Drosophila melanogaster: one gene and its partner. The protein of the gene in region 1 purifies or fractionates together with the protein of each later gene. This does not show direct contact. Each region holds a gene or a part of one and is shown in the gene's direction. Other genes may lie near its edges.

Region 1 (5,606 bases):
TGGCACCCATTAACCCACATTTCCGCTTAACCAATGTGCATTTTTGAAGCGCTACGATTGTTAGAGGTACATGTACAAAACACCCCGTTGTAGAGAATAAACCACAGATTTATGTGTGCTACATAATATCAGACCTCGTTGACACAGATTAATGCATTCAAAAGGTGGTGACAAAGCGCGACATTTCCGGCAGCATGACACTCAGATCCTCGATGTTGTTCTCCAGCGCACTCTCGTCCGTTGTGTCCAGTTCGCTGGTCCGCACGCTGTTCGCCCAGTCGGAGGAGTCTAGATCCTGTCCTGCTCCTCGCGCCTGATCCTCCTGCTGTTCCTGGGCGTTGAGGCTAGCTCGACTGGCGAGACCATCGCAAATATTGGCGGGATCTGACGGCAGCTCCACATAAAGGTTCGTCTGGCGCTGTAAAATTCAGAGAAATTCAACAAAAAGAAACACAAAGGTTAATTTGGAGCTTCACCAAAGCCATTAGCTGTAGATCGCGGTGCAGGCTGATGGGATTCTTGGACAGGTTGAGCATGTGAAGAGTCCGCAACTCCTCCAGTTGTGACCGCGTGGGCATCTCGTCAATACAATTTTCGTTGAGAAAAGCAAACCGCAGCTTCTGCATGGCCATCAGCATCCTGGGCAGCCGTCGCAATCGATTCCCCTTAAGATTCAGATGCACCAAATTTCCCAGCAACGCCATGGTCAGTGGCACTTCGCTGAGTTCGCAGCCCTCGGCTGTTAGCCAACGCAGGGAGGACAGAGCGCCTATGGCATCGGGCAACTTCTTCAAGGGATTTCCCCGTACGCCCAGCGTCTCGAGGTGTTCACAGTTACGAATTTCGTTGGGCAGCTCCAGGAGCCCAGTATTATTGCACCAGAACGTCTCCAGCTGAGTGAGGTATCCCAGTTCGGGTGGCAAACTACTAATGTTATTGCAGCTGATGTTGAGAAACTTCAGCCGGACCAAACGACAGATGCAGAGCGGGAATTCGTCCAGTTTATTGTAGTCCAACGTGAGGACCTGAAGTCGCATCAAACTACCAATGGAGGATGGAATCTGTGAGTCAAGGGATTGTGAGTCTATTATTTCATTGGCTATCTTGTGCACCAGGTGCCACCTTTGTTAGCTTGTTTTGGTTGAGGAACAGCTTCATCAGCGTCTCGCACTTCTCTATGATGCCCGGAACGTCGGAGATTTGGTAGTGGGACAGATTCAGGGAGAATGCCTTTTTGTATATGGCATCCTCGCAATTGGCCAGCACGTAGTTGTTGCGGAAAAACTGACAAACCTTCTCCATGTCGCCCTTATTAAGTGTTTACTTCTGCAGCACTTGAATTTGGTTGTCTTGGGTTCCAAACTATTTCACACTCTTTGGAAAACCTACTCTGTTTTTGGCGCTAGTAGCTTAGTTTTCAGGCCTTGTCTTTTGTAGTTTCGAACTGTCGCCCGATTTGCGCGTTTTTTCGTTTGTTTTGAGTGCATGTTATATAACGATTCTCGGAGTCTATATATGCACAAAAATCTCTATTTGCTGCACTCTCTTTTGCCTGCCTTCTCTTCCCAAGCTGATGAACTAAAATTAAAAATTTCATTTCCTGGGTAAAGGCATGCGCAAAATGCTAGATATTGGCAATAGGGTAGTTCTATTTTAAAATTGGTACATTGTCGCTTGTAATGTTTGTCGCACAAGGAAAGCTCAACATTTGACATTACCCATTCTCAGCTGCTAATTGGCAAAAAGCTCGTCTTTCTATCGGTTTATATAAATAGATTGTAAATTACCGAGCCGCTCTCAGTTGAAATTGAGCTCAGTGACTGGAAACTGCATCATGAGATCGTGTACTTTACTTGTTTTCATAGTGAGCACGCTGTTGTTTGCCGGTAAGTCAAGTGTGGGAACCACTAGAACCGCCACATCCATTCAACACTCTCTCTCTATTTTTCTCCAGTGACAAATGCGCAGCAGAATTATGATGGAAGAAATGGTCCCCATGAGTTCGGCACACCTGGAAACGGCATTTACATACGGGGTCAGAACGAAGGACCCTACACAGTGCCCGAAATGGGAGGAACGTTCCAAAACTCACCCTCAAGTGGGCAGCATTCCTACACCGATGAGCACGGAAATACTTACACCCATTCCTCAACGGCAACTGTCACAAGTTTGGCCTATTCAACCTTCGGTTTCAGCATGGGCGGCGTTCTCATTTTTCTAATTAGTTTAATAACCATTTAATTGCACTTTCCAAGTGCAAAAGTTCCAATTAATTAATTTTTAACACATCGTTTTTCAGTTCACGCCCACGAAAATCTATTGCTGAAACTGCATAGATGAGAATAACCATTTTCCTTCTAAGTATTATGCACTATTATTTATTCGCTATTTCTTTTGTTCACCTTATACACAAATTATTTAGCTATTAAACAGAAGTACAACAAAGTATACTTGATTCTTTTGAAAAGTGCGCCATTTTAGTTATCGATTGGCAACAACGTAAGGGAGAGATTTAACGTATAAGAAATATTTGAAACGTTGAAGTGTGATTTTTAACTAAACATTAAAATACAATCAAAGATAATTATTGTTATAATTATTTTCATACATATTTTCAATGAAATACTTAAATGCTAAGAACGTAACGATAAACGTAAGACCCAGCCAGCTATCGATAGTTGCGGCAAAATGCAGCGCTGACTTTGCCATTCTCACAAAACGAGCCACAGGTACAACGACGAACGCGGTTGCATTACATTATTATTATTATTACTATTAAATTAATTTCCCGCTCTGTGGGTATGCAATTAAAACCCAAAGTTGAGCCCGTTCAGCAATCTTGAATTGAGTCACTGAAAAATTCACCGGAGTCCACAATAAACCATCTGTAAGATGGACCAAATGCTAAGCCCCAACTTCTCGATTCCGAGCATCGGAACGCCGCTCCACCAGATGGAAGCGGACCAGCAGATAGTGGCCAATCCTGTGTACCATCCTCCGGCTGTATCGCAGCCGGATTCGTTGATGCCGGCACCCGGTTCCAGTTCCGTGCAGCACCAGCAGCAGCAACAGCAGTCGGACGCCAGTGGGGGATCAGGTCTCTTTGGCCACGAACCATCGCTCCCGCTGGCGCACAAACAAATGCAGAGTTACCAGCCATCGGCCTCCTATCAGCAGCAGCAGCAGCAACAGCAGCTCCAGAGTCAGGCGCCCGGCGGCGGTGGGAGCACTCCGCAGTCCATGATGCAGCCGCAGACGCCGCAGAGCATGATGGCCCACATGATGCCCATGAGTGAGCGGAGTGTGGGCGGTTCGGGGGCCGGAGGTGGCGGAGATGCCCTGAGCAACATCCACCAGACGATGGGCCCCTCCACGCCGATGACACCAGCCACACCAGGTTCCGCTGATCCCGGTATTGTGCCACAACTTCAGAACATCGTGTCCACGGTTAATCTGTGCTGCAAACTGGACCTCAAGAAAATAGCATTGCATGCGAGAAACGCCGAGTACAATCCTAAGCGATTTGCGGCTGTGATTATGCGAATCCGAGAGCCCCGGACCACCGCCCTTATTTTCAGCTCCGGCAAGATGGTGTGCACAGGGGCAAAGAGTGAGGACGACTCCAGACTGGCAGCGAGAAAGTATGCGCGCATCATCCAAAAGCTCGGTTTCCCTGTAAGACAAGACTTTACATTTCCTTTCTCTTCCCGGCGAATCTCTAACGCTTTCTCTCCCGCAGGCAAAGTTCCTCGACTTTAAGATTCAAAACATGGTCGGCTCCTGCGATGTCAAGTTCCCCATACGCTTGGAAGGCCTGGTGCTGACCCATTGCAACTTCAGCAGCTACGAGCCTGAGCTATTTCCCGGCTTAATCTATCGTATGGTGCGACCTCGAATCGTGCTCCTCATCTTCGTGTCCGGAAAGGTGGTGCTCACTGGAGCAAAGGTGCGGCAGGAGATCTACGATGCCTTCGACAAGATATTCCCCATTTTAAAGAAGTTCAAGAAGCAGTCATAAATAGGATAGCGCTTTATTAGTTCTGTACGTGTACGTTTTAAGGTCGGTAGTTCTGGAAGTCTGATCATATGAGTGGGAGCAGCCTGGCGAGCAGCTCCGATCGAGAATAAACCACAAAGTAATTTAGCTGTACGGACAGGCTTTTATTATTATTTTTTTTCCGTTAATTACTATTCGTAAAAATTTAGACAAGGACTATGAACGCGAATGAGGTTCCTACAGGCACTGGGCCATCAGGGCGCCCACGTTGTCGAACTCGATCTTCTCCGTAATGTTCTTCGTCTTGATTTTGTCGTCCTGCATGGCCACGATGACGAGTCCCTGGCCCTGGTTCTTCCAGCCATTGCGCTTGATCCAGCTCTCCAGCGTCGAGTCCTCGATGCCGCCGAGCAGCTCCTTAAGCAGGTCCTTGCGAATTGTCTGGAATGTGGTGCCCACCACATGCGAGACGAACTTGCGAATTGAATCGTGGAAGCCGGTGATGTGGCGGAACATGTTGCGGTTCACCTCGGCCCGCTGCCAGAAGAGGGTGAAGTCCGCCCGCTCCAGTATGTCGGCGAGGTCGATGATTGTCTGCACATTCTCGTCCTTCATCTGCTGGGGCAGCAGCAGGCACTTGGCCATCACGAAATCCGTGTGCGGCAGGCTGGTCAGTGACTTCAGCAGAATGGTGTACGTGATGTCGAAGTTCAGCATGTGCGGGTTGAACTGGTACAGTTTCAGCACGGCCAGGTTGGCCTCCAGGTCGTAGGTGTTGTTCTTAGCCTGATCCTGCACATAGGACTCCAGTGTTTTCAGATGATCTGGGTTGTAGCTGCGGCAAAAGCGAGGTTATGTTTTTACTAAGCATCATAACTGAGTGAATTTGTGCAGTTCTTACCGCTCGATGCAGCCCAGCATCTCCTGGATGGTCTGGCTCTGGCCGTTTTCCATTTTCACGAGGTGCGACATTTTCTACGGCTAATTTGTATGAAATTCGCAAGTTGACGTCGTGTTTTTTATTTTAATAAAGAAAGATTCGGTGTGACCGCAGTGCTGAACTCGCATTTGCCGATGCAAACAAACGGAATGCGGTCACATTGTGTGGGAATCTGCAAGGGGTATTCCTGAATTCCATTTCAAAATTCCCGTTACGCGAAGAAAATATTCGAATTTACAAACTAGTTTATTTTAAAGTTCGAATAACTCGCATTTCACTTTTGCTGGGTATTTAACCACTTTACTTACCTTACGTCTTGGGTTGCTCAAACATTCTGAAATCTTATAGAATCTCAAAAATTGTTTTTCTGCGCAACAAATAAAGTCCAATAAATAAAACACATATTTAAGTGGAAGTTTAATGATTTTAATACATATACACGTATGTATCTCATGTTTAAGGGAAGTTCCGTTCCGTTTTGCTTAACCTGGAAGTTCATGTGGAAGTGCATGTCTTGTGTAATCTACATGTTTTGTACAAAAGTATGTACACAATGGTATAAAAAGCAACTTAGTTGTAACCGGGATCGGAGGACTATGTCTTGTCCGCCTCGGCGACGCCGTTTTTCCCAGCCTCCGCCAGTTGCGCCTGGCGTTGCTCCTCCTCCAG
Region 2 (4,206 bases), on another chromosome or scaffold:
GTCACCTGTCTCCTGGCCGCCGGCGCCATGGGACTCTGGCACACCGTCGAGTTCTTTGAGAAGGAGAAGGTCGTGGGCGAGGATTACTTCCAGCAGTGGAACACGGTATGTACACCAGCTGCATTGGGCATGTATGTGGATTAACTAATGATGAATATCTTGATTTATTAGGTCCTGCGCGACAACACGAAGATCGCCTACGACTGGTCGTACATCGTGGCCTGGGCAGGAATCGGAACCTGTCTCCTGGCGTCCATTCTGCTCTCCGGCGCGGCCGTTTGCCTGCGCAACGAGCGGGAGAAGGAGGAGCAGCTGAACCTGCAGTACCTGATGCCAGGTATGTCCATCGTGCTGACCCTCTAATATAACTAATGACTAATTTTCGGTTTCCATTTCCAGTTTACTCGCAGAAGCAGCCACCCTATCCCCCTTATGCCAACTACGCCCAGCCGCAGATCTACCCAGGACCTTACTATCATGGCTCGCAGTACGGACCCTACAACTACTAGAGGCACACCCGAAGGGGCCAGCCAGCTTCAGCCAGCAGCTGCAATTGAGTTATAGAGACATAGAGATCACAAATCATGACCAGGAGGGAACCTGGTAGCCCTCCCCAGTAATCAAAATAGAGCAAGCGCTAACGAAATCTTAAAACGCATACATTCTGACAATGAAAATATTACTTAAAGCATCAATTTTTTTTTTCGACAAGAATCTAGTTTGTAGTCTATATAGAGCTATATAGTATATATATATATGCTTGTATGTATAACTGATCGTGGGACTTGAGTCAAAGTTGCGTCCAAGTTTTTGGTGCGCGAATTGTTTGCGCGTTATTTTGCAAATATCTAAGAGAGACGAATGGATGGATGGTTTTATATGTTGACCACGGCGAGATGGCGATTTAAAGACGGAACAATAAAGAGTTAATTTATTGTAGCACGTAACGTACATGTAGCGTATCTAAAATAATAATAAAGAAATATGTGTATGTATCTAAGCTAAAAGTTTCATTGTACAATGTATATGAATGTAATAATGCGCGACAAGCTTCAATTGTCTTCCAAGTATAGTGCATATTGTATGTAGAGCTGTACGTTTAATGAATAAAAGTTTCTTACGTTAATTTAACAGTTTTTAGCTCCTTTTGGCGGGACTTCGTTTTTGTTTTTCCACAACTGGGGTATTCAAGTTTTGTTAATAAGCTTATCAAGTCGTGTGAGAGAAATTTTTGACTTTATTAAAACTAAACAGAATTGTAGTCTTCATTTCACTCTGCCATTTGTTCTCGTTTCGTTAATTCCGAAATATTTTGAAATTGTTGTTTCTGATAGTTAATATTCCACCTATTGGTCCACCTATTATGCCAATGTGGTGTTATGTGATCTGGTAGAAATATGCTTATTGTTTAATATTTTGGATAAGCTTCATTAGATTTGTTCCTACATTTAAAAATCGATTTCTAATTTAGCCGTTTTTTTTAAATGGCCAGAGCCAGAGTTGCCACCCTGCAGTCCAGCGGCGTTTTCCACACTAGACGTCTGCATCGATAGTATCGCATAAGCTCACCGATTTCCGATAGACCCGTATATATGTACGTGCACAATTTCAATGGAATAAACAATCTTCTTGCAGCAAAGCCGACGTAAACATAATAACTATAGAAGTATGAGCGCAGAGAAGTCCGATAAGGCCAAGATCAGTGCCCAAATCAAGCACGTGCCGAAGGACGCGCAGGTGATCATGTCCATCCTGAAGGAGCTGAATGTCCAGGAGTACGAGCCGCGCGTGGTCAACCAACTGCTGGAGTTCACCTTCCGTAAGCGGCGATTAATGCCTTGCTTTTCCCACATCATTTTCCTAAATGCTGTCTTGCATTGCAGGCTATGTAACCTGCATTCTGGACGACGCCAAGGTGTACGCCAACCATGCGCGCAAGAAGACCATCGACTTGGACGACGTGCGTCTGGCCACCGAGGTTACGCTGGACAAGAGCTTCACCGGGCCGTTGGAGCGCCACGTTCTAGCCAAGGTGGCCGACGTGCGCAACAGCATGCCCCTGCCACCCATTAAGCCGCACTGCGGTCTCCGACTGCCGCCCGACCGCTACTGTCTCACCGGCGTCAACTACAAACTGCGGGCCACTAATCAGCCCAAGAAAATGACCAAGTCGGCGGTGGAGGGCCGTCCACTGAAGACCGTCGTTAAGCCCGTCTCCAGCGCCAATGGTCCGAAGAGGCCACACTCCGTGGTGGCCAAGCAGCAGGTGGTGACCATTCCCAAGCCCGTCATCAAGTTTACCACCACTACGACAACGAAAACGGTGGGCAGCTCCGGCGGATCTGGGGGCGGCGGTGGTCAGGAGGTTAAGAGCGAGAGCACCGGCGCCGGCGGAGATCTCAAGATGGAGGTGGACAGCGATGCGGCGGCCGTGGGCAGCATCGCTGGCGCATCCGGTTCGGGAGCAGGAAGTGCCAGCGGAGGAGGAGGAGGAGGAGGATCATCTGGCGTTGGAGTGGCCGTCAAGCGGGAACGTGAGGAGGAGGAGTTTGAGTTTGTGACCAACTAGCGAAACGACATCATTTACCTTAAATTAATATTCTTAAACCAGACCAAAGCACTTGCATTTGGTTGAGCGAACTGGGGGTCTAAATTTCAACTCGAATGTGAAGTCCCAAAAACCTTAGTATAGATTCGCCCGTTAATCATTATGAAATCTACGTTTTATACACAAATACAACTACCAGATTTTCATATTAAATATAACATTTATTTTAGACTCCAGTCGCGGATAAAGTACATGTAATGAATGTGCTGAGTGGGATGAGATTACTTTAAAGCTAAGATGATGCAGCAGCCAAGGTCCATGATCTGCAGATACTCGGAGCCGCCGTCCTGCAGTCGAAAGCAGCATTCCTGTGGGATAAAGGCAGCAATAAACAAGAGGAATCATATCTATCTATGCAGTCAGTACGTACGCCCAGCTTATCGCAGATCGTGGCCTTTTGCGGATCATTCAGCCCCGGATGATGGACAATGAACTCGACGAACTGTTCCATCATTTGGCCAACGCTGTAGGCGGAGAAGCCAATCTCCCGCACGAACTGCTCCAGGCGCTCGTAGTTCCCAGAGCGACAGACCTCCAGGTAATCCTCCAGATAGTACTCCGGTATAACGCCCGACATCTCGAACAGATCAGCAGTGTTGATGATGTGCTCGGGCCCTTTAAGGCGGTAGCAGGACTGCAAGGTGGTGATAGCGCGTCGCAGATCTCCGCCGGAAATTTTGACAATGGATTTATAGGCATCGTCCTCTATCTTTACTCCCTCCATCTCGCAAATGTACTTCAAACGATCGATCACCTTGTCTTCGCCCAGCGCCTTGAAGCGAAATTTAGAGCAACGCGACGTGATTGGCACGATAATTCGGGACACATAGTTGCAGATCAGGCAAAAACGGGTGCTCCGGCTCTCCTTCTCCATGGTGCGACGCAGCGCAGACTGTGCGGCATGGGTCATCGAATCGGCCTCGTCCAGAATGATGATCTTGAAGGGCGGACACGGCTTACCGTCCGGACGCACACTGCTGGCCGACAGCTGCGAGAAGTTTTTGATCTTGGTGCGCACCACATTGATGCCACGCTCGTCGGAGGCGTTCAGCTCGAGGATGCGGTCCTTGAACATGTCGCCGAAGATCTGTCGGCTGGCAGCCAGGATCGTGCTGGTCTTGCCCGTGCCGGGCGGTCCGTAGAGCAGCATGTTGGGCAGGTCCCCGCCTTCAACGCACTTGCGCAGCACGGCCACCACTTCGGACTGCTCCACCACATCATCCACATTGCGTGGCCGGCTGTTTTCGTCATTCGAAAAGGATAGAAATCACTTAAATTAGCATGTGCTCCAAGTTGGCGACATCGTCAACTCACTATTTCTCCACCCACGGTGCCGGTGGCTTGCGACGCGCCGCCGGAGTACCCTGGCTCTTGTCTCCGGATCCCGCCGTTGATTTTCCCGTTTTCAAAAAGGCTTGCATACCGGTTTCCTTGTTTCTTGACAAAATTACAAATAAAGCAGGACGCAAATGCAAGTTAAGCGCGCGTTTATCGATAACAAGTTGTCGCGAGTTGAAAGGTTGCCGGTAGCAGAGCTGCCAGCTAGAGCGAAGCAATTGTACACCTGTAAAAACTTCTGTGTATTACAAAAGTTTGTA

The links. Proteins that work in one complex are often made in the same cells at the same time.
Region 2: the proteins of Tbp (region 1) and Taf9 purify together in Drosophila melanogaster (affinity purification with western blotting; 8 studies listed by BioGRID, with this or other methods). This does not show direct contact.

Annotation. Positions count from the first base shown.
Region 1 is NT_033778.4:21,684,739-21,690,344, reverse strand, and holds Tbp (TATA binding protein), read left to right. Parts: upstream 1-2,702; 5' UTR 2,703-2,892; coding exon 2,893-3,675; intron 3,676-3,739; coding exon 3,740-4,018; 3' UTR 4,019-4,153; downstream 4,154-5,606. Other genes in the region: CG10307 (uncharacterized protein), read right to left, coding at 158-418, 477-1,061, 1,123-1,302; BaraC (baramicin C), read left to right, coding at 1,835-1,886, 1,955-2,241; eIF3k (eukaryotic translation initiation factor 3 subunit k), read right to left, coding at 4,235-4,832, 4,899-4,969; stum (stumble), read right to left, coding at 5,532-5,606. UniProt on the Drosophila melanogaster protein: General transcription factor that functions at the core of the DNA-binding multiprotein factor TFIID.
Region 2 is NC_004354.4:17,840,591-17,844,796, forward strand, and holds Taf9 (TBP-associated factor 9), read left to right. Parts: upstream 1-1,570; 5' UTR 1,571-1,668; coding exon 1,669-1,819; intron 1,820-1,883; coding exon 1,884-2,569; 3' UTR 2,570-2,758; downstream 2,759-4,206. Other genes in the region: CG6398 (uncharacterized protein), read left to right, coding at 1-105, 172-337, 400-509; CG8142 (uncharacterized protein), read right to left, coding at 2,830-2,916, 2,979-3,846, 3,923-4,029. UniProt on the Drosophila melanogaster protein: TFIID is a multimeric protein complex that plays a central role in mediating promoter responses to various activators and repressors.